Linked DNA regions of Oryctolagus cuniculus. The protein of the gene in region 1 purifies or fractionates together with the protein of each later gene. This does not show direct contact. Links are inferred from orthologs where the notes say so. Each region holds a gene or a part of one and is shown in the gene's direction. Other genes may lie near its edges.

What was found.
Region 2: the proteins of BCL7A (region 1) and SMARCC1 purify together in Homo sapiens (affinity purification with mass spectrometry; 4 studies listed by BioGRID and IntAct, counting the BioPlex papers as one, with this or other methods). This does not show direct contact. The link is inferred for Oryctolagus cuniculus from reciprocal best matches to the Homo sapiens genes BCL7A and SMARCC1.
Region 3: the proteins of BCL7A (region 1) and SMARCD2 purify together in Homo sapiens (affinity purification with mass spectrometry; 5 studies listed by BioGRID and IntAct, counting the BioPlex papers as one, with this or other methods). This does not show direct contact. The link is inferred for Oryctolagus cuniculus from reciprocal best matches to the Homo sapiens genes BCL7A and SMARCD2.
Region 4: the proteins of BCL7A (region 1) and ARID1B purify together in Homo sapiens (affinity purification with mass spectrometry; 4 studies listed by BioGRID and IntAct, counting the BioPlex papers as one, with this or other methods). This does not show direct contact. The link is inferred for Oryctolagus cuniculus from reciprocal best matches to the Homo sapiens genes BCL7A and ARID1B.
Region 5: the proteins of BCL7A (region 1) and SMARCC2 purify together in Homo sapiens (affinity purification with mass spectrometry; 4 studies listed by BioGRID and IntAct, counting the BioPlex papers as one, with this or other methods). This does not show direct contact. The link is inferred for Oryctolagus cuniculus from reciprocal best matches to the Homo sapiens genes BCL7A and SMARCC2.
Region 6: the proteins of BCL7A (region 1) and DPF2 purify together in Homo sapiens (affinity purification with mass spectrometry; 3 studies listed by BioGRID and IntAct, counting the BioPlex papers as one, with this or other methods). This does not show direct contact. The link is inferred for Oryctolagus cuniculus from reciprocal best matches to the Homo sapiens genes BCL7A and DPF2.
Region 7: the proteins of BCL7A (region 1) and DPF1 purify together in Homo sapiens (affinity purification with mass spectrometry; 3 studies listed by BioGRID and IntAct, counting the BioPlex papers as one, with this or other methods). This does not show direct contact. The link is inferred for Oryctolagus cuniculus from reciprocal best matches to the Homo sapiens genes BCL7A and DPF1.

What each region holds. Positions count from the first base shown.
Region 1 is NC_091452.1:7,044,094-7,047,829, reverse strand, and holds part of BCL7A (B-cell CLL/lymphoma 7 protein family member A), read left to right. Parts: intron 1-1,075; coding exon 1,076-1,197; intron 1,198-3,736.
Region 2 is NC_091441.1:101,101,362-101,105,097, forward strand, and holds part of SMARCC1 (SWI/SNF complex subunit SMARCC1), read left to right. Parts: intron 1-3,305; coding exon 3,306-3,425; intron 3,426-3,736. UniProt on the Homo sapiens protein: Involved in transcriptional activation and repression of select genes by chromatin remodeling (alteration of DNA-nucleosome topology).
Region 3 is NC_091448.1:14,876,240-14,880,524, forward strand, and holds the start of SMARCD2 (SWI/SNF-related matrix-associated actin-dependent regulator of chromatin subfamily D member 2), read left to right. Parts: upstream 1-1,286; 5' UTR 1,287-1,511; coding exon 1,512-1,730; intron 1,731-2,118; exon of another isoform or gene 2,119-2,544; intron 2,545-4,285. UniProt on the Homo sapiens protein: Involved in transcriptional activation and repression of select genes by chromatin remodeling (alteration of DNA-nucleosome topology).
Region 4 is NC_091436.1:10,839,381-10,843,777, reverse strand, and holds the start of ARID1B (AT-rich interactive domain-containing protein 1B), read left to right. Parts: upstream 1-1,405; 5' UTR 1,406-2,066; coding exon 2,067-3,869; intron 3,870-4,334; exon of another isoform or gene 4,335-4,397. UniProt on the Homo sapiens protein: Involved in transcriptional activation and repression of select genes by chromatin remodeling (alteration of DNA-nucleosome topology).
Region 5 is NC_091442.1:58,974,421-58,978,156, reverse strand, and holds part of SMARCC2 (SWI/SNF complex subunit SMARCC2), read left to right. Parts: intron 1-207; coding exon 208-361; intron 362-1,017; coding exon 1,018-1,110; intron 1,111-1,341; coding exon 1,342-1,461; intron 1,462-1,550; coding exon 1,551-1,613; intron 1,614-1,979; coding exon 1,980-2,238; intron 2,239-2,457; coding exon 2,458-2,620; intron 2,621-2,826; coding exon 2,827-2,896; intron 2,897-3,054; coding exon 3,055-3,190; intron 3,191-3,327; coding exon 3,328-3,494; intron 3,495-3,736. UniProt on the Homo sapiens protein: Involved in transcriptional activation and repression of select genes by chromatin remodeling (alteration of DNA-nucleosome topology).
Region 6 is NC_091432.1:6,288,738-6,292,473, reverse strand, and holds part of DPF2 (zinc finger protein ubi-d4), read left to right. Parts: intron 1-330; 5' UTR 331-414; coding exon 415-509; intron 510-908; exon of another isoform or gene 909-1,279; intron 1,280-1,375; coding exon 1,376-1,536; intron 1,537-2,259; coding exon 2,260-2,367; intron 2,368-2,582; coding exon 2,583-2,746; intron 2,747-3,736. UniProt on the Homo sapiens protein: Plays an active role in transcriptional regulation by binding modified histones H3 and H4. Is a negative regulator of myeloid differentiation of hematopoietic progenitor cells. Might also have a role in the development and maturation of lymphoid cells.
Region 7 is NC_091449.1:16,356,228-16,359,963, forward strand, and holds part of DPF1 (zinc finger protein neuro-d4), read left to right. Parts: intron 1-1,577; exon of another isoform or gene 1,578-1,889; coding exon of another isoform or gene 1,890-1,999; intron 2,000-2,115; exon of another isoform or gene 2,116-2,332; intron 2,333-2,390; exon of another isoform or gene 2,391-3,172; coding exon of another isoform or gene 3,173-3,309; intron 3,310-3,464; coding exon 3,465-3,625; intron 3,626-3,733; coding exon 3,734-3,736. UniProt on the Homo sapiens protein: May have an important role in developing neurons by participating in regulation of cell survival, possibly as a neurospecific transcription factor. Belongs to the neuron-specific chromatin remodeling complex (nBAF complex).

The sequences.
Region 1 (3,736 bases):
CAGACTGGGGCAGTGGGGAAACTGAGGCCCGAGAAATGATCCAAATAAGCGGATTCTTTCGACAAGTGATTGGGTGGCAGAATGCTGTGTAGACATCTTGTTGGCTCATAATTCTGAGATCGCAGGTGGTCCCCGTCTGAGGAGAGGAGGCAGTGACGCATTGGGCTGCTGGCCTTGGAATCTGGGTGTCAGCCCTGTGACGTGTTGGTGGGGGCTGTCTCTGGCTGGCCTGGAATAACGGATGATTTGTACTTTATTTTTCCTTAATTCTGTGTCCTGTTATTCATTGCTGGGACAGCCAGAAACCCCCGTGTGTTTAAGAGCGCTATTCATAAAGGTGCAGTCCAGTCCCTCTGCCCCCGTACAGGGAAGTGCAGACCGAAAGGAACTGCCAGTCACCCTGGCTGCCTTCTCCCTGCTGGCGAGAGGAATTGACAGCCATGCTTGTCCTGGTGCATTGGGCCCACCAGAGGGCACCAGCTGCACGCAGCACGCTGTGGCATCCTTTAGTTCTTCCTGGAGCACTGGGCAGCTAACGGATGTGGGGAGGGCGGGAGACCATGGGGCTGGTGTGTAGCCTGGCTGCTTTTTTTTTTTGAAGGGGGGTAAGATTTATTGATTTGTTTGAAAGAGTCAGAGGGAGAAAGATCTTCCATCTGTTGGTTCATTCCCCAGATGGCCGCAGTGGCGAGGGCTGGGGGCCAGGCTGAAGCCAGGAGCTTCTTCCAGGCCTCCCACATGGGTAGCAGGGCCCCAGACCATGTTCCGCTGCTTCTCCCAGGCCATTAACAGGGAGATGGATGAGAAGTGGAGCAGCCGGAACATGAACCGGTGCCCACATGGGATGCTGTGTCACAGGCGGTGGCTTTACCCCCTATGTCGCAATGCTGGCCCCGCCCGATTGCTTAAAGCAACGTCACTGAAATGATAAACAAGAGACTTCCCAAGCCGCTGCCCTATCGCAGTCCTGAAAGATCCCGGGCCACAGAGCTACCCGGTATTTTTAGTCCTGGGCCCATCTGGCTCCAAATATCACGTGTCTGAAAACAGCTTCTGTTGTCTGCTTTTCCCTCAGATGCTTCTGACGAGCAGAATTCTCAGTCTCCGGTGGAAAACGCCATGAACAGCTCAGAGAAAGGAGAACGGCAACCTTCCGGGGACTCGGGTCTGGCCGCCGAGTCATCAGCAATCTCTCAGGTACCTCGATCAAGGCCTCGGGGCCAGCGCTAGTGGCCAGGCCCACTGGGTTGTCAGGAATGGTGGAATGGTGTTCTTGTATTGGAGCAGCACCCATGAGTATGGTCCTGTGTCCTGGCCTGGGTGCCAGGGCCATGGCCTCGGGGTGCCTCTGGGGGAAGAGGAGGAGGAGGAGGGGCCCTTCATCTCAGCCTCACCTTCACTTTATTTATTTATTTATTTTTTTGACAGGCAGAGTTAGTGAAAGAGAGACAGAGAGAAAGGTCTTCCTTCTGTTGGTTCACCCCCCAAATGGCCACTACAGCCAGCGCACTGTGCCGATCCGAAGCCAGGAGCCAGGTGCCTCCTCCTGGTCTCCCATGCGGATGCAGGGCCCAAGCAATTGGGCCATCCTCCACTGCCTTCCCGGGCCAGAGCAGAGAGCTGGACTGGAAGAGGAGCAACCAGGACAGAACCCGGTGCCCCAACCGGGACTAGAACCCAGAGTGCCAGCGCCGCAGGCAGAGGATTAGCCTAGTGAGCCGTGGCACTGGCCACCTTCTTCACTTTAAAAAAAAAATATTTATTTTAAGGGCTGACATTGTGGCATAGCAGGTTGAGCCGTGGCCTGCAGGGCTGGCATCCCATATGGGTTCTGGTTCATGTCCCGGCTATTTTTTTTTCCCCAAGATTTATTTGTTTGTTTGAAAGGTAGAGTTACAAGGCCGGCGCTGCGGCTCAATAGGCTAATCCTCTGCCTGCAGCGCCGGCACCCTGGGTTCTAGTCCCGGTCGGGGCGCCGGATTCTGTCCCGGTTGCCCCTCTTCCAGGCCAGCTCTCTGCTGTGGCCAGGGAGTGCAGTGGAGGATGGCCCAAGTGCTTGGGCCCTGCACCCCATGGGAGACCAGGAGAAGCACCTGGCTCCTGGCTTTGGATCAGCGTGGTGCACTGGCCGCAGCACGCCGGCCATGGCGGCCATTGGAGAGTGAACCAATGGAAAAGGAAGACCTTTCTCTCTGTCTCTCACTGTCCACTCTGCCTGTCAAAAAAAAAAAAAAAAAAAAAAAAAAGAAAGAAAGAGTTACAGGGAAGCAGAGGCAGAGAGAGAGTGATCTTCCATCCAGTGATTCACTCCCCCAGATGGCCACAATGGCCAGAACTGTGCCTATCCAAAGCCAGGAGCCAGGAGCTTCCTCTGGGTCTCCCACGTGGGTAGAGGGGCCCAAGGACTTGGGCCATACCGCTCTCCCAAGCCATGGCAGAGAGCGGGATCAGAAGTAGAGCATCTCGGGCTTGAATTGGTGCCCATGTTTTTTAAAATATTTATTTATAAATATAATACAAATAAGTATTTTTAAAAAGTATTTATTTGTAAAGATTTATTTGAAAGAGTACAGAGAGAGATGGAGACAGAGAGGTTGATCTTCTGTCAGCTGGTTTGTTCCTCAAATGCCTGCATCAGCCAGGTCTGGGCCAGGCCATGGATGTGAGCCCAGAGCTCCCTGGTCTCCCCATGAGTGGCAGGGAGCCAAGTTCTTGGGCCATTTTTTTGCTGCCTTCCCAGAAGCCTTTGCAGGAAGCTGGATGGATGCGGAGCAGCTGGGGCTTGACCCTGCACTCCCATGTGAGATGCCGGTGTTGCAGACTGTGTCTTACCCCTCTGTATTGCAGCGCCTGCCCCAGCCTCTTCATTTTCATTTCTTTGAATCCACAAAAGCCTTGCAAGCGTCCTCTGGAGCTGGGACGCCAGGGCGTCGCTGGGAATTGTGCAGCCAAGCCCCTCTCTGAGGCGTCATGGGGCGTCCTCCTCCGGGCCAGTCGCTGCAGATGTAGGGCCGGTGATGAGGTTAGGCGTCCCAGAGTCAGACCCCGGTTCCAGTGCCAGCTCCATCTCTGGCCAGCGCCTGGAGAGTTCCAAATTGGCATCCCAAAGCTGTGTGAGGGCGTCCCTGAGGACGACCCAAACCTCAAAGCTGAAACCGGGCCTCTCCCCTTGCTCCCCACCTCCACCCGAGCTCAGGATGTGAGCAGGAGGTGGGAGAGGTCCAGTCGAACAGACAGCCTGGCGTTCTGAGCAACACTTCAGGCCACACGTCTGTCTCCTGCTCTCTCCTCCTGACTCAGGGCCGTCAGCTCTCTGGGCCTGCCCGCAGGTCACTCACCATCACTTCGTAGTGGCCAGGCGCTCGGCCAGAGGGCCCTGCCCCTCACAGGGACTCTCCTAGGACACTGTGGAGCTTGTAGTCCTTTCAAAGTAGGGAAAGAAGGCAGACGTCTGGCTCAGCTGTTAGGATGCACCTGGGGCACCCACATCGCACGTCAGTCTGCCTGGGGCTGAGTCCCAGCCCTGCTTCCTGCTGATGGGTGCCCTGGGAGGCAGCCGGTGATGGTTCCACCCTGCTCCCCGCACGGGAGGCCTGGATTGAGTTCCTGGCTCCTGGCTTTCATCTGCCTCAGCCCTGGCTGCTGCAGATATTTGGGGAGTGAGCCAACAGATGGAAGATCTCTCTCTATCTCTCTTTCCTTCTCTCTGTCACTCTTTCAAATAATGAAAATAATG
Region 2 (3,736 bases), on another chromosome or scaffold:
TTTAGGCTTTGTTGGCAAGTTTGGCTTAGCAACACGGAGTAGGGTTTTTGACTTTTTGACTGGGATGATCTTTGGACAAACAGAGTCCCAAAGTAGGTGACCACTTAGGTGAGAAAACTGAAGCATGGGAGACTGTTTGCTGACATTACATTTGGGTCTTTCAGCATTACAAAATCCGGGTTCATTTTCCACCTAAGCTGCTGCCTTTGTATTACTGAGTACACTTCATTCACCTCATGTTTGATAAAGATGAGCGCCTTACCTCTGCGCATAGCTCCTGAATAGTTTTCAGTTGATAAAACCCTAACAGTACTGACTTCAGACTGATTTGTTCACCGCCTGAAGGATATCTAAGCTCCCAGATAAGTTTCTTCCCAAAGTTTGACTTATTGTTGAAATAAGATTTGAGGTTTCAGGATGATCACTAAAGTTAGGTCACCTAAGGAAGATGTTTTAATACCTTTTACACAAATTATTTGACAGTTAAAGATAGTTAAATGGTTATTTTTTTAAAAAGATTTATTTATTTATTTGAAAGTCAGAATTACAGAGAGAGGGAGAGACAGTGGGAGATCTGTCCACTGGTTCTCTCCCCAAATGGCCAGGCCCAAGCCAGTAGCTTCATCTGGGTCTCCGATGTGGGTGGCAGGGGCCCAAGGGCTTGGGCCGTCCTCTGCTGATTTTCCTAGGCTATTAGCAATGAGCTGGATCAGAGTGCAGCAGCTGGGACTTGAACTGGCATCCATATGGGATGCTGGTGCCGCAGATGGTGGCTTAACCCTCTGTGCATAGCACCAACTCTGTAAATATTTTTAAGATTTATTTTTTATTTATTTATTTTTATTTTTTTGACAGGCAGAGTGAACAGTGAGAGAGAGAGAGAGAAAGGTCTTCCTTTAGCCGTTGGTTCACCTTCCAATGGCCGCGCTGATCCAAAGCCAGGAGCCAGGTGCTTATCCTGGTCTCCCATGGGGTACAGGGCCCAAGCACCTGGGCCATCCTCCACTGCACTCCCTGGCCACAGCAGAGAGCTGGCCTGGAAGAGGGGCAACCGGGACAGAATCCGGCTCCCAGACCGGGACTAGAACCCGGTGTGCCGGCGCCGCAAGGCAGAGGATTAGCCTAGTGAGCCGCGGCGCCGGCCAAGATTTATTTATTTGAAAGGCAGAGTGACAGGGAGTGATAGATGTCTTGCATCCACTAGTTAGCTCCTCATATGGCTGCAACAGCCAGATTGGGCCAAGCCGAAGCCTGGAGCCTGGAGCTCCATCTGAATCTTCCAATTACCGGGGCCATCTTTTACTGCTTTCCCAGGCACACTGGCAGGGAGCTGGATCGGAAGTGGGGCAGATGGAATGAAATCCTTTGCTCTCTTATAGGGTGTCAGAATTGTAGGTAGCGGCTTGACCTGCTGAGCCACAACACCAATCCTAGTTATTTTCATAAATCATATCTTTTCTTTCCATTTCCTACAATCTTTTTTTTTCTTAATTTTATTATTTTGTACAGCAGGGAGACAGGAAGAGACAGACAGACACAGGTTGTCCATCTGCTGGTTTACTCCCCAGATGACTGCAACATTTGGGACTGGACCAAGGCTGATGGAAGCCAAGAGCTGGGAACTCAATTTTGAGTCTCCCTTATGGGTAACAGACTCAAACACTTGAGCCTTGTGGTAGAATGTGCATTGTGGTGCAGCGAGTTAAGCTGTGGCTTGGGATGCCAGTGTCCCATTCATATATTCATGCCTGGGATCCAGTCTTGCCTTTGCTTCCATTTTAGCATCCTGTTAATGCACCTGGGAGGCCATAGTTTATGGCTCAAGTACCTAGGTCCCTACCACCTGCATAGGATACCTAGATTAGTTCTTGGCTCCCAGCGTCAGCCCAGTCCAGGCTATTGCAGGCTTTTGAGGAGTGAGCCAGCAGGTGGGAGATCTCTCCCTATCTTTCTTTCTGTCACTATGTCTTTATTTTTCTTTGCCCCCCCCCCTTTTTTTTAGATCGTTATTTATTTGAAAGACAGTTATAGAAAGAGAGGTCTTCCATCTGCTAGTTCACTCACCAAATGGCCCCATTGGGTGGAGCTGGAGTTTCATCCGGTTTTCCCACATGGGCGCAGGGTCCCAAGCTCTTGGGCCATCTTCTGCCGTGTTCCCAGCCGCATTAGTGGGGAGCTGGATAGGAAGTGGAGCAGCAGCTGGGACTCAACGCCCATTTGGGATTCCGGGGCCTAACCTGCTAAGCCACCATACTGGCCCCCACATGAACATTTTTTTCCCGTTTTTTTTTTTTTTTTTAATGTTTTATTGAAATATAGTATATATACCATGAGATGCACTTAAGTATAGCTTTTTTTCATTCTGAATGACAATATTGGGAATGAAACATGTATGTTATAAAGGACCTTAGAATATACACAAAGATACATGTTATTTCAAATTTTTATTTTCATTTTTTATTTGAAAGGCAGAGAGAGCTCTCCCATTTGCTTGTTCACTCCCTAAATGCTGACAAGCCAGGAATTGATTTCAAGTAAGCCACATGGGTAGCAGGTACCCAAGTACTTGAGCTATCATCTTCTGCCCCCTAAGATGTGCGTTAGCAGGAAGCCGGATCAGAGGCCCAGTTGAGACTTGACTCCAGGCACTCTGATGTCAGATGTGGGTATCCCAAGGCACAGTGCCCTTCTCTGTCTACTAAAATTTGAGAACAATGGCTTTAGACTGACAGTTGACATCTTATATGCTCTGTTGTATAAAATTTGTCTTCAGTGTTTGATTCATGTCTGGCATATACTGCTATGTGTCACATGTGTGGGTGTGTGGGTGTTTTTTTATTTTTTTTATTTGACAGGTAGAGTTATAGACAGTGAGAGAGAGAGAGAGGCAGAGAGAAAGGTCTTCCTTCTGTTGGTTCAACCCCCAAATGGGCGCTACAGCCGGAGCTACACTGATCCGAAGCCAGGAGCCAGGTGCTTCTTCTTGGTCTCCCATGAGGGGCAGGGGCCCAAGCACTTGGGCCATCCTGCACTGCCCTCCCGGGCCACAGCAGAGAGCTGGACTAGAAGAGTATCAGCCGGCACTAGAACCCGGTGCCTTTATGGGATGCTGGTGCCACAGGCGGAGGATTAACCGAGCGAGCCTGTGTGGTATTTTTTTAAATAAAAATTTATTTATCTGAAAGGCAGAGGTACTAGATGCCATTCTACTAGAATGGCAGTGCTTAGTAGATACTAGGAAGTAAGCCAGCAGTCTCTCCTGCAACAGTTGTACCACTTTTTAAGTCTGTCTCTTTATTTTGCAGTATGTTCATGCGGATGCTCCTACCAATAAAACACTGGCTGGGCTGGTGGTACAGCTTCTCCAGTTCCAGGAAGATGCCTTTGGGAAGCATGTCACCAACCCGGCCTTCACCAAACTTCCTGTAAGTACATCAATTTATAATAGTACTGGGGCATTTTCAGTTTCTGTGTGCCAGCCTATTGCTATTTTCCTTTGCTATGACTAGTGTATAAATTTTAAAAAAGGGAACCTCAACAGAATTTTAGCTGAGGCTTTTTTGCTGTTTAAAAAAATATATTTTTTAAAAAATTTGAGAGACAGAAACAGACACATGTGACTCCCATCTGCTGAAACTCAGAACTGGGAATTCAGTTCAGGTCTTCTGTGATCTTCGTTTTTTTTTTTTTTTTTTTTTTTTTTTTTTTTTTTCAGATCTCTGGAGCTGGGCCAGGC
Region 3 (4,285 bases), on another chromosome or scaffold:
ATATTTAACAATGTTTTTAAATGCACTTAATAGTTATTTCTTTTCTACAGTAGTTCTCATCAAGGGGTATTAGAATTACCTAACTTATTTTTAAAATGCAACGCTGGAGGTCATTGGTTTGGAGGTATGGCTGGCAGGGATATTTTGGAATGGCCACCACTTCCTCAAGAACTACCGCTGGTCTGGAAGCTTCAGAGTTGGAGGGGACATTCGCTGCCTTATCACGAAGCCTTGCTGGGGTAGAAAGGGGCATGGTTTGATGGCTGTAACTGTCACAGTTGCAGGGGTCTGTCCCCATACTGACAGGTGGCCAACTTTTAGGGAGGAAGAGGAGAGGGATCTTAGATGCAGGAAAGCAGAGCAGCAGGGCTTGTCACCTAAGGAATGCTACAGAGGTACGAGTGGGAACTAATTTCTAACAGAGGGTTGGAGGACTGCCGCGGCCCCAGTGAGCCATAATCTGCATTTATAATGAGAGCCCGGGTGTGCTGTATGCTCATTAAAGTCTAAGCACTGGTCTATGTCCTGGGGAGACCCCACATGAGGGTGGGGGGCGGGTTAGGAACCTGGCACAGCTGAAGCGTTTATTTGGAATACCTTCTGATACAGGTCAGTAGTACCGAACGTTTGAAGATAAAGTGCTATAAATACTGGAGACAGAACTTGTTTAACTGGGGGGTGGGGGGGCGCTTCTCAGGGCAAATTTCCTTCGCCGAGAACCATTTCCTGTGGAGTCAAGTACCAGGCTTCTTTAAAATGAGACAGAGCCATGTTAAAAATGTGCGATAAGAACCGGGCGCTAGGCCAAGTCAACGGTTCACACAGCTGGCCTGGGCCTGGCGCCGTCCAGGTCAGAGGGCGGCCCCAGGCCGAGTCTTCAACGCTGAACTGTATAAAGACTCAACAGAAGTAGTTTGAGGGGGAGTAGCGGACTAATCCGCTTTAGTGGCTACACCCGAGCTAGCAGAGCCCAGGACCTCGCTGACCTTCGACTTCTGACCCCCCGCCTCACTCGGCACTTCCGTTCGCACTTCCGCTCCCGCCTCTCCGCGAAGGGCGGGCCCACGGGTTGTGGGCGGTACCCTAGGCCGGCGGTTAGGGGCGGTGCCTGCTAGGGGTGCGTCTCGCGAGGGCGGGATTTGAGGAGGCAGTCTCGCATTGGACTGCGAGGGAGGGGCGGGGCCGAGTGCTGCCTGGGTGGGGCGGGGCCGGGAGTTAGTCGCCGCCTTTGGGTAACCGGACTCTGGTGGCCAAACCTCCCGAGGCCGGGGGCGGCAGGCGGGCCCGCAGCCTATCCCGGATCCGGAATCTCCCGGGCCAGGAGCGGAATCGGGGTCGGCCCTGGCCCAGACCAGGCCAGAAAGGAACTCGCGAACTTGGATTAGGAAATCCCGGATCCCGGATCCACAAAGCCCGGAACCCGGAATTAGGATCGGAAAGTCCCGGATCGCGGAGCGCAGCGCGCGGAGCGGACTCGACGCGGAGCCCGGAGGCCGGGACGGGACGGAGCGATGTCGGGCCGTGGCGCGGGCGGGTTCCCGCTGCCCCCGCTGAGCCCTGGCGGCGGCGGCGCCGTGGCAGCCGCCCTGGGAGCGCCGCCTCCCCCGGCGGGACCCGGCATGCTGCCGGGCCCGGCGCTCCGGGGCCCGGGGCCGGCTGGCGGCGTGGGGGGCCCTGGGGCCGCCGCCTTCCGCCCCATGGGCCCCGCGGGCCCCGCGGCGCAGTACCAGGTGAGGAGAGAGGAGCGAGGGCGCCTCGAGTGGGGCCCCTGGGGGAGCCCCCTGGACCGGGGGCGCAGGACTCTGCGGCAGGAGCTCGCTGGGGCCGGGGAGGGCCCGGCGGGGGCCCTCTGGCCGCGGCTCGGTTATGGCGGTGGCGGAGTGCGAGGGGGCTCCGAGGGCTTCCTTGGCGCGGGCGCTGCGAGTAACTGAGCGATGGAGTTGTGGGAGGCGGCGAACCGTGGCCGAGCAGCCCGTGTCCGGGGTTCCCGGGATGTGATGGGAAAGTTTCGGACAAGGCTCCCACCGCGCGACCGGGGTTACCCTGCGTTGGCCTTGGTCCTGTTCCAAGTCTGCCCTGTTTTTTCTCGTTGGGAACTGGCAGGGCTGGAGCATGTCTGAGATGGCTCCCAGCTGCTAAGGAGGCGGCAGGAGGCCTGGCTTCCCACCGCCAGGGAGGCTGAGGTTGGGGCCGGGGGAGTCCAGCCTGTGTGTGCAGGGGCAGACCCAGGAGCTTTTCACTGGATTTGACTCCGGGTTAGACCAGAGGCGGTGGCGAGCCGGCTGGAGGGAGGACCCAGCCCAGTGAGAGACCATCGCGCGCAGACCGTGTCCTGGGCTCTCTGCTTGGCGGCGTCCTGGTGGCGGGAGGTTGAGTGGAGGAGCCGGGCTGGGGCTGCAGGAGTTTGCTTCCCAGCGCTGTCCCGACGCCTGCGGGTTGACGTCCGAGAGAGGCTCACGTTGCAGCGCGAAAGGCCACCGAGAGGCAGAGCCGCGACGGTCCTTACGGCGGGCGTGTGAGCACTCGGTCTGGCCCTGCTGCGGGGTTGGTCTCCCGGTCCGTTATTTTAGGTTGCCCCAAATGCTTAGGAATTATACCTGTCTTTTTTTTTCCCCCTGCCCTCTCCGATTTACTTGGCCTCCGGGTTCTGACAACCCCGCATCCTAACCCATGCACCCTGCGTTTGCCGCTTGCTGGTCTCCCAAGGTCTCTTCCCTCATTGTGTCTCCCAGCCAGGGGTCCCAGAGGGTCCTCAGGGAGTGTCCTCCAGGACCCCCGAGCTCTCACATCCCCGGGCGATGCCTACTGGGGACAGTGAATTTTGTATTCCCTTATTCCCTCTCCTTCGTAAAAGAAAACAGGGTGAGGGTGTGTGCAGAGGGAGACCTGGTCCCAGGGGCCCCGCTGGGGCTCCTCCTCTCCTATCTTGCTCTACTCCCTAGGGGACTCCTGGACTCAGGGTGTGGCTGAGGGGTCCCTGCATCAGTTACTCCAGCCCTCGGGCCTGTTTGCTGAGACCTGGCCCGGGAACCTCTGGGCCTTTGGCCTTGGAGGGACCTGGAACAGACAATGCGGCCCTTGGGAAGAGTGCCCATGCCCCTGAGAGGATGGCAGTGGCCAGGCCTAGCTGCGTGGCTGTGGGCCACTAGGAGTGGCACTGAGGCTGGCTTTCCTGGCCACCACTTTGTCCTCCTCCCCTCCGGAGAGATGGGAAGGGGAACCTGGCCCCCCGGGCTGAGTCAGGTCCCGTTGTGTGACTTCAGGAGAAGGGACTTGAGGGTTCCTGTCTGTCAGCACTCGCAGAGGGAGCTAAGAGCAAGGAGTCGAGGCCCACGCCGGGCAGGTAGGGAGCCTGTGGAAGGAAGGGCTGTGATGCCCCCTCCCTCCAGAGGGGGCCTGGTGGTCACCGCCAGCAGAGAAGCTCAAGGCCAAACCTCGGGTGCTGGCTTTGCTCTAGAGAACTCAGGATGCCCCGCTGACACCCTGAGCAGCAGGGCCACAGCTCAGGGGCGGGGCACCGCGTGCTCACCTGGCGGCTCAGCAGAGGGGCCGGCCTTGGAACAGCTGGTGTGGGGGACGGGTGATGCGGTCACTGCACACTTTCGGGGTTCAGGGGGCCCCACCAGGCCTGCCTCACCCTGTTTCATGTCAGGAGTCAGGGAGGGTGAGAGTTTTGGGCTGTAGGTTGTAGGTCTTTTTTTAGAATTCCTGAGTTGTTTTTTGAAGGGGTTGGAATTACTGGTGCTTCAAAGCCCAGGTGTGGAGCTTGGCAAGGCTGAACTGGGACTCCAGCTGCGAAGCAGCCTTTCCCTGGGGCCCAGGGTGAGCCGGGGGCCCTGAGCCCGGCACGGGACCTGCTCCAGGTCCTGCCTGTGCGCCTTGTCCTTGTCCTGGGACTTCCTGTCTCCGGAGCACCTGCTCAGGAGGGCTAGGTGGTGGTGCAGGCTTGGTGAGCGCCCTAGTGAGTGGCTTTGTGGGGACCGCAGGGCCCTAGCTCGCCCCTGCAATTGCTGCTTGCTCCCTTGTCTCAGGCACTGGAAAAAAAAAAGTTGCAGTCTGGGACATGTGTGGGGCCTGGGCTTACAGCTGCGGCCACATTGAGTGCTGCCCCCTCCCCCCCCATCTCTGGCTGTGGCTCATTAAAGCGGAGAAGTAGGTTGTCTTGCTTTCAACAGCTCTAATGAATCCCTTCCTGATGGAGCGAGGCTGCGGCAGGACTCCCGATCCCAGAGCCCCCCGCTCTGCTCTCACCTCTTGGTTCTCACTCCGCCCTTCCCCCCACAGC
Region 4 (4,397 bases), on another chromosome or scaffold:
CTTGGCGATTCCCTTTTAGGACTAGTTGTGAAAAGCAGCCAGGACGTACGGCTGAACTTGTAGGAACTGACTTTGATCTAGCTTATCAATCTGAATAAAAGCACTGTATGATTATTTGCATATAGTTTGATTATCAATGTCTGAAGCATAAACAAGATTGATTTTAGAATACATGTATATAGATACATAAAACATTTATATTTGCATATGAAAACTTTAAAATGCAACATATGTGGTTAATACGTATAATTAGTATGTATTTGAATATATAGAGAAAAGCCAGGGAAAAAAATGTCAAAAGGCCCACTAAAAGAGATGTAGTGTTCTCTTGGCACAAACTGATGATTTGGCATGACTTCCTCTTACAGTTCTGTTATTGTCTCTTACCCGTTTTCCAGTTGTTTGGACAGAATGGCAATTTGTTGTTTCTTCTCCAAATAACGACCCTTGGGTGTGCGCCTGGCTCCCCGCCCCCACCAGTCACCAGTAGCTCCGTCTGGCTATCTGTCTCTAGTCAGGTAACATGCTTACACTTGGTCAAGCATACATAACTAGTGCATCCGAAACAAGCCGAAATGCTTGCTATGGAAAGCTGAGGAATGAAATGATTTTGGAAAACTATACTCTACCAAAATCGTGTATCTCATTTCTGGGAGTGTGACCCCTGGAGAGCTGGAGAGTACTTCTTAAGAAGTACTGTTACTAAAGATACTCATAATGATACTAGGTGGTAAACTCATAATAAAAACTGTTGCAATACACAACTGTGTACTATTTCTGCTTTTACATTAGATTGGACTGTTTTATAGTTATTGATCTTGTATTTATATTACATTTAACATCTATTGAGTTTTGTTTCATGTTACTTGGAAAGAAACTTTCTCAAGAGGGTTCTCTGTGCCCGTTACCCTCTGAAATAACGCTGGAAGGTGCTACTACATCACCGGAGGGGGGGGGATTCGACTTTGGACAAATAGTGGCATCTGCGTGGGAAAGCTGTGTGCCGCGTGACCCTCGGCTGCGTGTGCCCGAGACAGAGAGGACACAGGGGTGCGAGCTCTCCCCACAGACTCCTTGCACAGGAATCTAGGGTGCCTTAAAAACAGCCACGTAGCCATTATCTCTGGGGCAGGTGCCGGCATCGGTGAGCATCCATTGAGTACCTGCTGTGTACAGGGCTCTGTGCTCTTCGAACGCGGCTAACCCTCCCCGAAAGCCCTTCCTGAATTCTGCAGTTGGAAGAAGTTGTGGGAATCACGCCGATGGCCAGGAATCAAGGCAGGGAGGCCAACGTTCTGGAAAATTACATAACTCCTGTGAGAGCCAGCGCTTTTGCAGATCGCCCAAATATTTTCTTTCCTCCGTGGGCTCCTCGTCACCTCGGAGGCCCACGGACAACTTCGTGCCCCAGCCCTTCTTCCCTCTTTTGTCTGCTCGCCACAGACTCGTTTTTCCACCTTTGGAGCGTTCCTTTTAGACGCGAAAACAAACACGCGAACGCCCGGTTGGCAAGGAGACGGAGGCACGAGGGGAAAGTGCAGCTCCGGCCGCCTCTCGCCGCCGCGCTCCGAGCGGCTGCCCAGCCGGCCTTGGCCCGGGCCTGCGCGCGGCCCCCGGCCCCCGGCCCCCGGCCCCCGAGGCTGCGCCGGCACGGGCGGGCGGCTGCGGCCCGCGCCGAGTCCAGTCCGCGTTTTGCGAGTGCACAGGAGCAATCAGAGAGAAGTGGGATAATAGTTGCTCCAGCTCGCTCGGCTCCTTCTCGTGCCATGCTGGGCCCGATAGGCTCAGCCGGTCGTGTATTTACCCATATCCGGGTTAGAGAGGAAAAGAGAAAAGTTTCGTTTAAACCTGAACTAAAAACTTTCACCGTGAAAGCACACAGCGGGAGCAGGCCCAGACCGTAAGGCGTGCCCCGGGCCCGGCGCTCCGGCGGGGCCTGCGGAGGGGGAGGGGGCCGGCGGCTTCCCGGCGGGCCGCGTGGATGCGCGCAGGAGGGGCCGCGGCCTGAAAAGTGGGGGTATTGTCTCCCCCCGCCGCCCGCCCGGCCTCGCCACGCCGCGGCGATCATGGCCGCGCGGGCAGCAGCGGCGGCGGCGGCGCGGGCGCGGGCGGGCAGCGGCGAGCGGCGGGCGCCCCCCGGGCCGCGGCCGGCGCCCGGGGCCCGGGACCTGGAGGCGGGGGCGCGCGGCGCGGCGGCGGCACCGGCGGCACCGGGACCCATGCTGGGGGGCGGCGGCGGCGGCGGCCTGAATAATGTGCACCACCACCCCCTGCACCCCCGTCACGAGCTGAACATGGCCCATAACGCGAGCGCCGCGGCCCCGGCCGCCGCCGCCAGCACTAGCAGCGCCAAGAGCGGCGGCTCGGAGGCGGCTCTCAAGGAGGCTGGAAGCGCCGCCGCGCTGTCCTCCTCCTCCTCCTCCTCCGCGGCGGCGGCGGCGGCGGCGTCCTCCTCTTCCTCCTCGTCGGGCCCGGGCTCGGCCATGGAGACGGGGCTGCTCCCCAACCACAAACTGAAAGCCGTTGGCGAGGCCCCCGCCGCACCGCCCCACCACCACCACCACCACCATGCCCACCACCACGACCACCATGCCCACCTCCACCACCACCACCACCATCACCACCACCACCACGCACTACAGCAGCAGCTAAACCAGTTCCAGCAGCAGCAGCAACAGCAGCAGCAGCAGCAGCAGCAACAACATCCCATTTCCAACAACAGCCTGGGCGGCGCGGGCGGCGGCGGCGGCGCGCCTCAGCCGGGCCCCGACATGGAGCAGCCGCAACATGGAGGCGCCAAGGACAGTGCCGCGGGCAGCCAGGCCGACCCCCCGGGCCAGCCGCTGCTGAGCAAGCCGGGCGACGAGGACGACGCGCCGCCCAAGATGGGGGAGCCGGCGGGCGGCCGCTACGAGCACCCGGGCCTGGGCGCCCTGGGCGCGCAGCAGTCGCCGGCCGCCGTGCCCGGGGGCGGCGGCCAGGCGGCCGTCTCGGAGTTTAATAATTACTATGGCAGCGCTGCCCCTGCTAGCGGCGGCCCCGGCGGCCGCGCTGGGCCTTGCTTTGATCAACATGGCGGACAACAAAGCCCCGGGATGGGGATGATGCATTCCGCCTCAGCCGCCGCCGGGGCCCCCAGCAGCATGGACCCCCTGCAGAACTCCCACGAAGGGTACCCCAACAGCCAGTACAACCATTATCCGGGCTACAGCCGGCCCGGCGCGGGCGGCGGCGGCGGCGGCGGCGGAGGCGGAGGAGGAGGAGGAGGCAGCGGAGGAGGAGGAGGAGGAGGAGGAGCAGGAGCAGGAGCAGGAGCAGGAGCGGGAGCTGTGGCGGCGGCGGCCGCGGCGGCGGCAGCAGCAGCAGCAGGAGGCGGCGGCGGCGGCGGCGGCAGCTATGGGGGCTCGTCCTCGGGGTACGGGGTGCTGAGCTCCCCCCGGCAGCAGGGCGGCGGCATGATGATGGGCCCCGGGGGCGGCGGGGCCGCGAGCCTCAGCAAGGCGGCCGCCGGCGCGGCGGCGGGGGGCTTCCAGCGCTTCGCCGGGCAGAACCAGCACCCGTCGGGGGCCACCCCGACCCTCAACCAGCTGCTCACCTCGCCCAGCCCCATGATGCGGAGCTACGGCGGCAGCTACCCCGACTACAGCAGCCCCAGCGCGCCGCCGCCGCCGCCGTCGCAGCCCCAGTCCCAGGCGGCGGCGGCGGCGGGGGCGGCGGCGGGCGGCCAGCAGGCGGCCGCGGGCATGGGCTTGGGCAAGGACATGGGCGCCCAGTATGCCGCTGCCAGCCCGGCCTGGGCGGCCGCGCAACAAAGGAGTCACCCGGCGATGAGTCCCGGCACCCCCGGACCGACCATGGGCAGATCCCAGGTAACCCCCGCGCCGGCCGGGCCTGCTTCCGCCCGGCGGCCTCGCCGCGCCGCGAGCCCGAGTTTCTTTCTTTGCCGCGTACTTTTCCCCAGTTTTCTGGTTGGGGGGCGGCGGGGGCGCGGCGCCCAGGGCCATCTTCGCGGGCGGCCGCCTCCCGCCGAGGTCGGGCGCGCGAGCGTCCGCCCGCCGAGTCCGGGCCGCGCCGTGCGGGCCGCGCAGGGCTTCGCCCGCGGCCGCGGGCCGGGCCGGGCGCTCCGGTGCCCGGTGGACCCGCAGCCTCGCCCCGCCGGCTCTCCCGAGGCGCTGGGGTGGTGACGGGATTCCGAGACAGCGCCCGCGGTCGCGGGAGGCTGTGGGGGCCCGGGGCTGGGTGCGGGGGGCTTTTGTGACGGAATCGGCTCTCCGGGCCGCTGAGGTCTGGGGATGGGGGGGGGGTGTTGACCAGATCTGCCCGGGGAGCGCCCACAGTGTGCCCTCGCTGGGAGAAGAATGAGGAACTTTCTCCCACCTTCAGCCTCGTCCTTCCAG
Region 5 (3,736 bases), on another chromosome or scaffold:
CTGAGAGAGGGTTAGACTACAGATGCGGGCTTGGTGTCACTGGGGTCTGGGTGGTGGGTAAGCAGTGGGATTTTCCAGAGAGTGGAATAAACAGAAGAGACCAGGGGAGGAGGAGAGGGAGCTTTACACCGCTGTCTCTACCACAGTCCTCCTCATGCACCTTTCCAGCTGTTCCATGTGACCCTGACTCTGCCTCCCTCCTCACAGGGTCCATGCCTTCCTCGAGCAGTGGGGTCTTATTAACTACCAGGTGGATGCCGAGAGCCGACCAACCCCCATGGGGCCTCCGCCCACCTCTCACTTCCATGTCTTGGCCGACACACCGTCGGGGCTGGTGCCTCTGCAGCCCAAGACCCCGCAGGTAGGGCGAGGGGCTGTGGGGACAGGGTGGGCTTGGGTAAGATTGGGCTTCTTCAGACTTTCTTTTTCTGGTTTTTAGGGTAATGGTTCAGGAGTATTTTGAGGCTTCTTCCTTTTCCATGGGAGGCGAAGGGCCACAGGCGTGAGCCCCGTGTGTTAGCACCCTCTCTCAGCCTCTGTACTCAAGGCTGCGAGGACTTCCTGAGGGAGTGAGATCCTCCTTGTCCTCAGGGAGCAGATAGGCCAGTGTAGGGTTGAAGCAGACAGAGGAAAATGGTGTAAAATTGACTTGCATGAAATTGTCACACTTCCTCATGTTTCCCACATTTTTTCATTTTTGTCTCATAATTATTATCACCTCCATTTTTTCCACTTCCATTTCATCTATTATAAAAATTAAGAGAAGAAAGGTTATGTGGCTTGCCCAAGGTCACAGAGTACCAAATCTAGGAATAGAATCTAATTGTCCAGCTCCTAAGAGAACCTTAAAAGTACATGTGCATACAAATGGACACCATGCCAACCATGTGTCTAATTAATCAGAAAGGGAACTGGAACAGTGGCATGAGTGCCCCAGAGCTTGCGGGCCACCCAGCATTTGGTCTTGGCCTGGTCATTTCCTGCCCAGCTTCCATGACGCCAAGCTCTGTCCCCCAGGGCCGCCAGGTTGATGCTGATACCAAGGCTGGGCGAAAGGGCAAAGAGCTGGATGACCTGGTGCCAGAGACGGCTAAGGGCAAGCCAGAGCTGGTAGGTGGGGTGCAGACCCCGCTGAGCTTCTTATTTGCCCCTTTATTGGGGGTCCCCTGCCCGGGAAAAAGAGGCATGAGAGCAGAGGAGCTACAGCAGTAGGGGAGGAAGTCCCGCCAGGGACGTCCCTGGACTGGGAAGGAAGCTCCTTCTGTCTGTTTTCTCTCTCTGTCTGCCCCTGACCCCCAGTGGTCACTCGTACTCACCTCTTTCTTTCCCCTCCACAAATAGCAGACCTCTGCTTCCCAACAAATGCTCAACTTTCCTGACAAAGGCAAAGAGAAACCAACAGACATGCAGAACTTCGGGCTGCGCACAGACATGTACACGAAGAAGAGCGTCCCCTCCAAGGTAGGCGGTGCAGGCTGGCTGCGGGGCTGGAGAACCTCTCCCAAGAGCTCCCAGGCTCCTGCCTCCTGACCCGCCTGCATCCTCTGCAGAGCAAAGCCGCAGCCAGTGCCACTCGAGAGTGGACAGAACAGGAGACCCTGCTACTCCTCGAGGTAATTGGGGCAAGGAAGAGAGTTCTGCTACAAAAACAGTAGGGACCAGGGTGCCAGCTGCACTTGGGAGCTGGGAGAGCTCATGGAGTCTGGCGTGAGCAGAGCACCATCTCTTCCCGGTCTCTCCCCTTCCTGATGTCTGTCACACCTGCCCCAGGGAACAGCTCCAGGCCAGGGATCTGGGACGTTTCTTTAACTTCAGATCCTTTCTTAGTGCTACTTGGAGATCCCCCTTGGATCCAGCAGAGTAAACACAAAGCAGAACACAGAGAGCTTTGAAGCCAGCTGCCCCTGGTAGCATAGCGGGAGTTGACCTCCAAGGAAGGTGGCTAAATAAGAAGAGTTATGTCTCCACCACCCCACCAGGCACTGGAAATGTACAAAGATGACTGGAACAAAGTATCTGAGCACGTGGGAAGCCGGACACAGGATGAGTGCATCTTGCATTTCCTTCGTCTTCCCATTGAAGACCCCTACCTGGAGGACTCGGAGGCCTCCCTGGGCCCCCTGGCCTACCAGCCCATCCCCTTCAGTCAGTCGGGCAACCCTGTCATGAGCACTGTTGCCTTCCTGGCCTCTGTCGTCGATCCCCGCGTCGCGTCTGCTGCTGCAAAGTCTGCCCTAGGTAACCGGGGTGGGGGTGCCGGCCTTCTTAGTTTGCGTGTGAAGGGCTGGTTACTCAGACTGGGAAACGCTCTCAAGTCCAGCTGCCCCGCTGGCCGCTCAGGGGCCTGTCTAGGTGCTGCGCTGGTCTTAGTTGAGAGGGGCTCTGAGATGGTGTCTACCAGGATAGCCAGAGCTGCCCGCCTGCACTGCTCCCAGCTGCATCCCCTGGGTCTTTCAGAGGAGTTCTCCAAAATGAAGGAAGAGGTGCCCACAGCCTTGGTGGAAGCCCACGTTCGGAAAGTGGAGGAAGCAGCCAAAGTGACAGGCAAGGCCGACCCAGCCTTTGGCCTGGAAAGCAGTGGCATCGCAGGAACCACCTCTGAGGAGCCTGAGCGGATCGGTAAGGCTTGGGACGTTTCCAGATCTCTCCCTTTCCTCCAAAAGCCACAGCCCTCTGGCCTCCCTGGGCCATCCCTGCCCCATGTTGGTATCAGAGCACAGCGGGACATGGCTTCTGGCTGGTCCTGTCACTAGGTTTTGGCTGGTGGAGGGGCTGTGGGGAGAGAGACTATCAGGCATTTCCTCTTCCCTTTCCTCTCCCCACGGGCCCAGAGGAGAGCGGGACTGACGAAGCCCGGGCGGAGGGCCAGGCCACAGATGAGAAGAAGGAGCCTAAGGTATAGAGGGACTGAGCTCAGGCCGGGAGGGGCAGGAGTGGCGGTGGTGGGTGAACAAGGGCTGTCCCCAGAGCCAGGTGGGCTCCGAACATGCCAGAGTGAATGCAGCTCCCAGTCTCCCCCACCTGATGCTCCCTGTCCTTTCCCTGGTGCCTCAGGAGCCCCGGGAAGGAGGAGGGGCTGGAGAGGAGGAGGCCAAGGAGAAAACTAGCGAGGCCCCCAAGAAGGATGAGGAGAAAGGGAAAGAAGGCGACAGCGAGAGGGAACCGGAGAAGAGTGATGCTGACTCAATGGGTGAGCATCCCGGACGGGGTGGGGGAAGAGGGATGGTGACCCAGGGGGTGAACATCCCGGACAGTGCCAGGGTTGGGGAAGAGCCCAGCAGAGACAAGTGGAGCTGTCAGACTAACTCAGCCCTCGCCCCGGCCCAGCTGATCCCGAGAAGGAGAAGGAGCCAAAGGAAGGGCAGGAGGAAGTGCTGAAGGAGGTGGTGGAGTCGGAGGGAGAAAGGAAGACGAAGGTGGAGCGGGACATTGGGGAGGGCAACCTCTCCACCGCCGCTGCCGCTGCCCTGGCTGCCGCCGCTGTGAAAGCCAAGGTGAGGCAGGCCCTGAAGACCCGAGGAAGATGCCCTCTAATCTCCTTCGCTTACAAGCCCTTCCTTGCTCACCCCTTGCTAGCCTGCTTTCTTGTTATTTTTATCCTAAAAGAGAGTCAGTCATCTCATCTCTAAGCTTTTTTAATTTGGGGGCCTGTTTCCAGCTCTGTAACCATGTGACTTCGTCTTATCTTTTGCTGCTCTTTTTTAAAAAAAATACCAAGCCAACACTTCTGTGGGTT
Region 6 (3,736 bases), on another chromosome or scaffold:
AGGGGGGGGTATATTAACTAACTAGGGGTTACTAGTTCCCCCTGCATGACCAAATGGCTGGTTGAACCCTGGTTTCATGTACATACTTTTTAGAACCAGGTAACTCTTGGCACTGTGCAGTTTTCCAGTTCTTCAAAACACTGAAAGATTTGTCCTTAATTCAGATTTCAAATTGAATCTCTTTTTGGGTCAAAGCCGATTCCTGTATAATTTGGGTAGGAACAGGACCTCAGACTAAACAGGTTTCATGTCAGTAATGTTACTCAATGAAAGCTTCGAGGGGGGGTGGGTGTTTGGTACAACAGTTGACATGCCGCTTGGGACACACAGGTCCTGTATCCGAGTGCCAGGGCTCCAGTCCAGTTTTGCTCCTGTCCCAGCATTCTCGCTCTCGCACACCCTGGAAGGCAGCAGATGACGGCTCAAGTGCTTGGGTCCCTGCCTCCCACGTGGGAGGCCGCGCCTGAGTTCTGGGCCCCTGTTCTCAGCCTGCCCCAGCCCCAGCTGTGGTGAGCATTCGGGGAATAAACCAGGAGGTGGGAATGTCTAACTTACAATACAGAAGAGGGACAGGCATGGTGGGGCAGCAGGGCCGCTGCTTGCGATGCCGCGTCCCGTTCCGGAGTCCCGGCGCCAAGGCCTGGCCACTCTGCTGCTGACCCGGCTCCGGTGCTGGAGGCCCTGCAGCCATGGGAGACGGGGTGGAGCTCCTGGCTCCAGTCTGGCCCAGCTCTGGTGTTGCAGCCATCTGGGGAGTGAACCAGCGGATGGAAGGTCCAACTCCCCCTTCGCCCCCATGAGCTCTGCCTTTCAAATAAATAAAATACGGATGGAACGGATGGAAGTCCCCCAGTCACCAGCTTGTCTCCTTGGAGACCGGCTGTGTCTTTTCCACCCCTCTTACCCAGGTGACACATCGGCACGTTCTTGCTTTATCGTCCTAGTCTTGGAATTGTCTACTCCAATACATGAAGAGCTTCCTTTCTTCTGTGGCTATACCGTAGAGTGCTAAGTGTAGGACGTCCACCAGGCCGTCCTGAGCGCCTTCCCCATTTGTAAGGAGGGCTGACACCCAGGCCTCAGGCCCGTGAGGGCTCCGAGAACTGGCAGCTGACCTGAAACAGCGAGCACTGCGGTGGGCTCGGCAGAGTCACCGAGTAAGCGCTAGTGTGAGTGAGGCTCAGGTCTGCTCAGACATGATGAAATCACGCGTTCCCGGTGGTGATGTCCATGTGACAGCGCAGGGAGGAGCCTGCTGTCCCACGAGGTAGAGATGGAGGTACATAGAGGGGAAGTGCGAGCCCTCGTCTCCTGGGCCCTGCGGAGAAGCTAGCGTAGCGCCCTGCGGCTCCCCACACCCCGGCTCTCTCGCCAGGCTCGGGGAGCAGTACTACAAGGACGCCATGGAGCAGTGCCACAGTTACAACGCCCGCCTCTGTGCCGAGCGCAGCGTGCGCCTGCCCTTCCTGGACTCGCAGACCGGAGTCGCCCAGAGCAACTGTTACATCTGGATGGAAAAGCGGCACCGGGGTCCAGGTGAGGGTCCAGGCTCGGCAGGAGGAAGACTGGCTCGTGCTGGGCAAGGGTGCAGTTGAGTCTCCCCCGCGGCTGCCTGTGGTCTCCTGTGCTGAGAAACCCGTGGAGGGGGCAGGCCGGGTCGTCCAGCGTCTGCTGCCCTGCTGCAGCCATGGTTGGCTTCTGGAGGGCTGCGTGGTTGCCAAGGCCTGCGCCTGGATCTGTTTTTCTCTTTCACAAAGTAGCCCCCACCTCACTGTCAGTCTTACTCCCTTGCTCTAGAACTTGAGATGGGAGGGGGCCAGCATTAAACCAGGTTAAACCAGCGTACCAGGTTAAACCTCTGTGTGGGACCCCGGCATCCCATATGGGTGCCAGTTCAAGACCCAGCTGGTCCACTTCCAATCCAGCTCTCTGCTAATGGCCTGGGACAGCAGTGGAGGACGGCCCAAGTGCTTGGGCCCTTGCACCCATGTGGGAGACCTGGATGAAGCTCCAGGCTCCTGGCTTCGGCCCAGCCCAGCCCTGGCCATTGCAGTAATTTGGGGAATGAACCTGTGGATGGAAGATGTCTGTCTCTCCTCTCTTTCTGATGTTGCATTTCAAATAAATGAATCTTTTAAAATATTAAATTTAAAACAATAAAATAAAAAAGGGGGGAAGGGAAGCTGCTCATCTGGAAAGAGTTTGGTATTACTTTCTAGAACTAGGTTAGGGCTTGACTTCTTTCTCTTCATACCACAGGACTGGCCTCTGGTCAGCTGTACTCATACCCTGCCCGGCGCTGGCGGAAAAAGCGGCGAGCCCACCCCCCTGAGGATCCACGACTGTCCTTCCCATCCATTAAGCCAGGTGAGGTCGCCTGCCTCTGTGCGGAGGCCTGCCAGTCACCTGATAGGTACCAGACGCAGTGTTAGATCTCGAGTGTAGTAAGACGCGATTCTTCCCTGTGGAGAACGCCAGTGGTGGTGCCTGGGCGGCCGGAGCAGAGGCAGCGGCTGACCTCTGCTGTAGACCCAGGTCTGCTCGCAGCCCCTGAGCTCGCCTTGTCCTGACTGTGCCTGCAGACACGGAGCAGACCCTGAAGAAGGAGGGGCTGATCTCCCAGGACGGCAGCAGTTTGGAGGCTCTGCTGCGCACTGACCCTCTGGAGAAGCGAGGCGCCCCGGATCCCCGCGTCGACGACGACAGTCTGGGCGAGTTCCCCGTGACCAACAGTCGTGCCCGGAAGGTAGGAGGCCTTCGCTGCGGCTAAGGAAACTTCTCCGGGCAGTCCCTCATCGGGCACGCCCACCTAGCAGAGCCGAGCTGACCCCAGTCTCTGTTGGCAGGCGGTCTCTGCACCTCCTTTGCTTTTTTTTTTTAAGATTTATTGATTTATTTGAAAGGCAGAGTTACATCTGTTCTTTCATTCCCCAAATGGCTACAGTTGCCAGCGTGGGCCAGGCTGAAGCCAAGAGCTTCATTCAGGCTCCTACAGGGGCCCAGGATCTTGGAAGCCGAGCAGTGAGGACTCACACTGGCGCCCACGTGGGATGCAGCTGCACCTGCCACGCCCCTTCCCTCTAAGTGCAGACGCTCACCTGAGATTACGTAGGCGAGACAGACATGATCCCTGCCATCAGGGAGGATAAAGATGTCTCTGCAAATCAGAGCCAGGAGTACGGTGGGCAGTGTGCCAGTTGCTGCTTTATGTTCTTTCTTGTTTATGCTTTTTTTTAAATTTATTTTTGAAGATTTACTTTTATTTATTTGACAGAGTTACAGAGAGAGGTAGAGACAGAGAGAGAGGTCTTCCATTCACTCCCCAAATGGCTGCAATGGCTAAAACTGAGCCAATCTGAAGCCAGGAGCCAGGAGCTTCTTCCGGCTCTCCCACACGGGTGCAGGGGCCCAAGGACTTGGCCGTCTTCTACCGCTTTCCCAAGCGCATTAGCAGGGAGCTGAATTAGAAGTGGAGCAGCCCATATCGGATGCCAGTGCTGCAGGCTGGGGCTTTAACCTGCTGCGCCACCGCACCGGCCCCAGTCCATACTTTATGAGGCCCTAGTTCACAGACAGGGATGCTGAGCAGATCAGTTTTAAAACTTGTCACAGAGTGTTTCAAGTAAGCAGCAAAGCTCTCATTTAAACTAGGAAGTGAGTGTCAGAAAGGAACCACCATTGGTGTCCTCCAGGATGGCCAGATGTGAGCAGAAGAGGCGTGGCTGCCAGAGAATCG
Region 7 (3,736 bases), on another chromosome or scaffold:
AGACAGAGAGAAAGGTCTTCCTTTTTTCCGTTGGTTCACCCCCCAAGTGGCTGCTATGGTTGGCACATTGTGGCCAGTGCACTGCGTGGATCCAAAGCCAGGAAAACAGGTGCTTCCTCCTGGTCTCCCATGTGGCCATCCTCCACTGCCTTCCCGGGCCACAGCAGAGAGCTGGACTGGAAGAGGAGCAGCCAGGACAGAATCCGGCACCCTGACAGGGACTAGAACCCGGGGTGCCGGCACTGCAGGCAGAGGATTAGCCTAGTGAGCCGTGGTGCCGGCTCATTTATTCATTTTTAAAAAAGATTTATTTATTTATTTGAAAGGCGGAGTTACAGACAGAGGGAGAGAGAGAGAGAGAGAGAAAGAGAGAGAGAGGGAGAGAGAGGTCTTCCATTCACTGGGTCACTCCCCAAACGGCTGCAATGGCCAGAGCTGGGCTGATCCGAAGCCAGGAGCCAGGAGATCTTCTGGGTCTCCCACATGGATGCAGGGGCCCAAGGACTTGGGCCATTTTCTCTGCTTTCCCAGGCCACAGCAGAGAGCTGGATCGGAAGTGTAGCAGCCGGGTCTTGAATCAGCACCCATGCATGATTCTTCTTAACAGTGATCACTCTTTTACTTCTTTTAATAAATAATTTTAAAGGATTTATTTATTTGAAAGAGAGTGACAGAGAGAGAGATGGGGGGCAGAGAGAGAGAGAGCGAGCTTCCACCCACCGGCTCACTCCCCAAGTGGCTACAACAGCTAGGTCTGGACCAGGCCAAAGCCAGGAGCCAGGAGCCCCACCCTGGTCTGCCACAGGGGTGCAGGGGCCCAAGCACCCGGGCCACCCTCCATTGCCTTCCCAGGCACCTTAGCGGCAGGGAGCTGGATCGGAAGTGGAGCAACTGACTTTCAGATAAGAGATGCTGGAGTCACAAGTGGTGGCTTAAGCCGCTGAGCCACAACACCGGCCCCACCATTTTACTTCTTAGTGCAGGTCAGATCCTCTTCCTAAAATGAGTTTATCGAGTTCTCATTATCTGCCAGGCACCTCTTCAAAAATTTTTTTTTTATTTAAAAAATAAAATTTATTAGAGAGAGAGAGAGGGAGAGAAATAGACAGAGAGACCTTCTATCTGCTGGTTCACACCATAGGTGCCTGAACCAGCTGGGTCTGGGCCAGGCCAAAGCCATAAGCCCAGAACTCCATCCAGGTCTCCCTCGTGCATGGCAGGAACCCAAATACTTGAGCCATCCACCTGCTGCTTCCCAGGGTGTGCGTTGGCAGGAAGCTCTAACGGAGAGTGCAGCCAGCTCCAGTATGGGTGTGGGTGTGGGTGTGGGTGCTGGCGACCCAAGAGGTGTCTTAACTGCTCTCCCAAACTCCCTCCGCAGTCACGTCCCCTTTAAAACACCCACATCAACCCTCACAACCATCCCATCCGGCATCGAATGGGATGAAGCGAAAACCGAGGTCCAGAAAGCTTGTCATTTGCCCAAGACCCAAAGGGCACGGCCAGCGAGAGGTGTGGTTACCGGTGCCCGCCAGAACTAAGCAGGGTGGGTGGGGTGCCGGCCACGAGTGGGGCGGGGTCGGGCTCTGCAGAGCCCGCGGGGTCCAGGGACCGGCATCCAAGGTGTGCCTAATTCTCGGCGTTGACGTGGGAGTGCGCGCGGGGCTGTGTGTGCCCGTGTGAGGCTGTGCACGTGAGACGGGGAGGTGTGTAGGACGGCGCGTGCGAGCCACACTGTGCGCGCTCCTTGGGCCCCGCCTCCGCATCGCCGGTCGCCGCGGGCTCGGGCCCGGGCCCGGGACTACAACTCCCAGCATGGGCCGCGCGGGCACGCCCCGCCGGCGTGATTGGCTGTGGCCCGCGTGCTCCCGCCCCCCGGGAATGAATGGATGGGCGGCCTCAGCGCCCGCCCGACCGCTGGGAGGACCGACCCGGCGGGGACCTGCTGGGGGCAGGACCCGGGGAGCAAGATGGCCACGGTCATCCCCGGCCCCCTGAGGTGGTGCGGGCCGGCGGGAGGCGCGGGCGGGCGCGCGGGCGGGTCTGCGCAGGCATGTGTGCCCGTGTGTGCCTGTGTGTGCGTGTGTGTGTGGCGGCTGGGGGTGGGGCCGAGGGGGTGTCTGGGGGGTTGTCACCGGGTGCGGGGCTGCGTGGGGGTGCGAGTGTGCGTGACCGTGGGTCTCCGGCAAGAATGGTGTCCGGCGCGCTGCTCTGCAAGGGGCGGAGGGCTAGGGCCGACTCTGGTCCTTTCCAGGAAAGGGGTCATCGCCCCTGCCTCGCGACCCCCGGGTTTGGGAGAGGGGGAAAGGGCCTGGGGAACGGAGGGGCCTTGGTAAACTCCAGTGAAGTCCACACCACCTTTGTCTGGGATGTGGAGTGTGTGTGTGTGTGTGTGTGTGTGTGAGAGAGCGAGAGAGAGAGCGACAGCGAGAGTTCTCTGTATGTGTGTGTGGCTCTGTCTGGATATGTGTTGGATTTCTTTTATTCCGCGTTGGACATCTTTGGGTCTCTGAGCGTGTGTGCACCCCTCCGGGATGGCACCCACGATCTAGTGTCCTGTGTTTGGGGAGCTGTAGACAGGCATGCATGCACTTTTCTGTAAATTGTTGTGTGATGTTGGTGGATTTGATGTGTGTGTGTGTGTGTGTGTGTGTCTTTGGCTATGTGCTATTTTAGATACCAAATTCTACATCGTGCATATTTGTGAGTGTGTATGTGTGTACCTGTGTGAATCCGTGTGATTTCTTTGTATATTGTGTGTCTGGTATGTGTGTGTGTGTGTGATTTGTGTGTCTGGATACTGTGGGTGAATGCCTGGGAGCCATTTGTCTTACAGTCTCTCTCTTTTGACGTTTGTGCATCTGTGTGTGTCTCTGGGTGCACAAGTTTGTGTGTGTGTGCGCGCGCGCACGTGTGATGTGGCCTAGTCTACCTTGTGAGTCTTTGTGGGTGGCTTGTTTGTGTTGTGTGTCTTCGGATACCTGACACATACTTGTGCACGGATCTGTCTCTTTCCACACCAGGTCACTTGGGATATGTGTGCTTTTCCGGGGATATCTGTGTGTGCACGTGTGTGAGATTTGTGATTCTCCTTTGTGAGTATTGAATCCGTCTCTTTGTGTGTGGAGCCCGTGTGAGTGTGTGATTCGTTTGGTTGTGTGTTCACGTATGGATGGGTCCTGGTGTATTTTTTGTCCGTTTTATATTGTGGGCATCTCCTGAGCTGGAGGCCTGCGTAAGCCCCAGACTGGGGGCCCCTTGGCGCCGTGTCCCGCCCCCCCACCCCAGCCTGGGTCCAGGAGGGGCGAGGTGAGAGTGGACGGGGCAGCCCCACGTCCCCCCCGGGAGCAAGCAGGGCAGGGCGGGCCAGGGAGCAGGGCAGGGCGGCCCGGGGAGCGGGGCGGCCGGGGAGCGGGGCAGGGCTGCCCCCGCTGACAGCCGCCCGCCCGCTGCCGCCCTCGCAGCCTAGGCGAGGACTTCTACCGCGAGGCCATCGAGCACTGCCGCAGCTACAACGCGCGCCTGTGCGCCGAGCGCAGCCTGCGCCTGCCCTTCCTCGACTCGCAGACCGGCGTGGCCCAGAACAACTGCTACATCTGGATGGAGAAGACCCACCGCGGGCCCGGTGCGCGAGGGAGGCCGGGCTGGGGCGGGGCGGGGCGGCCGCTGGATTCGGGGCCGCTCGCTCACTCCCTCTCCCTCTCTCCGTCCTCCCCCACGGCTGTCTCTCCAGGTC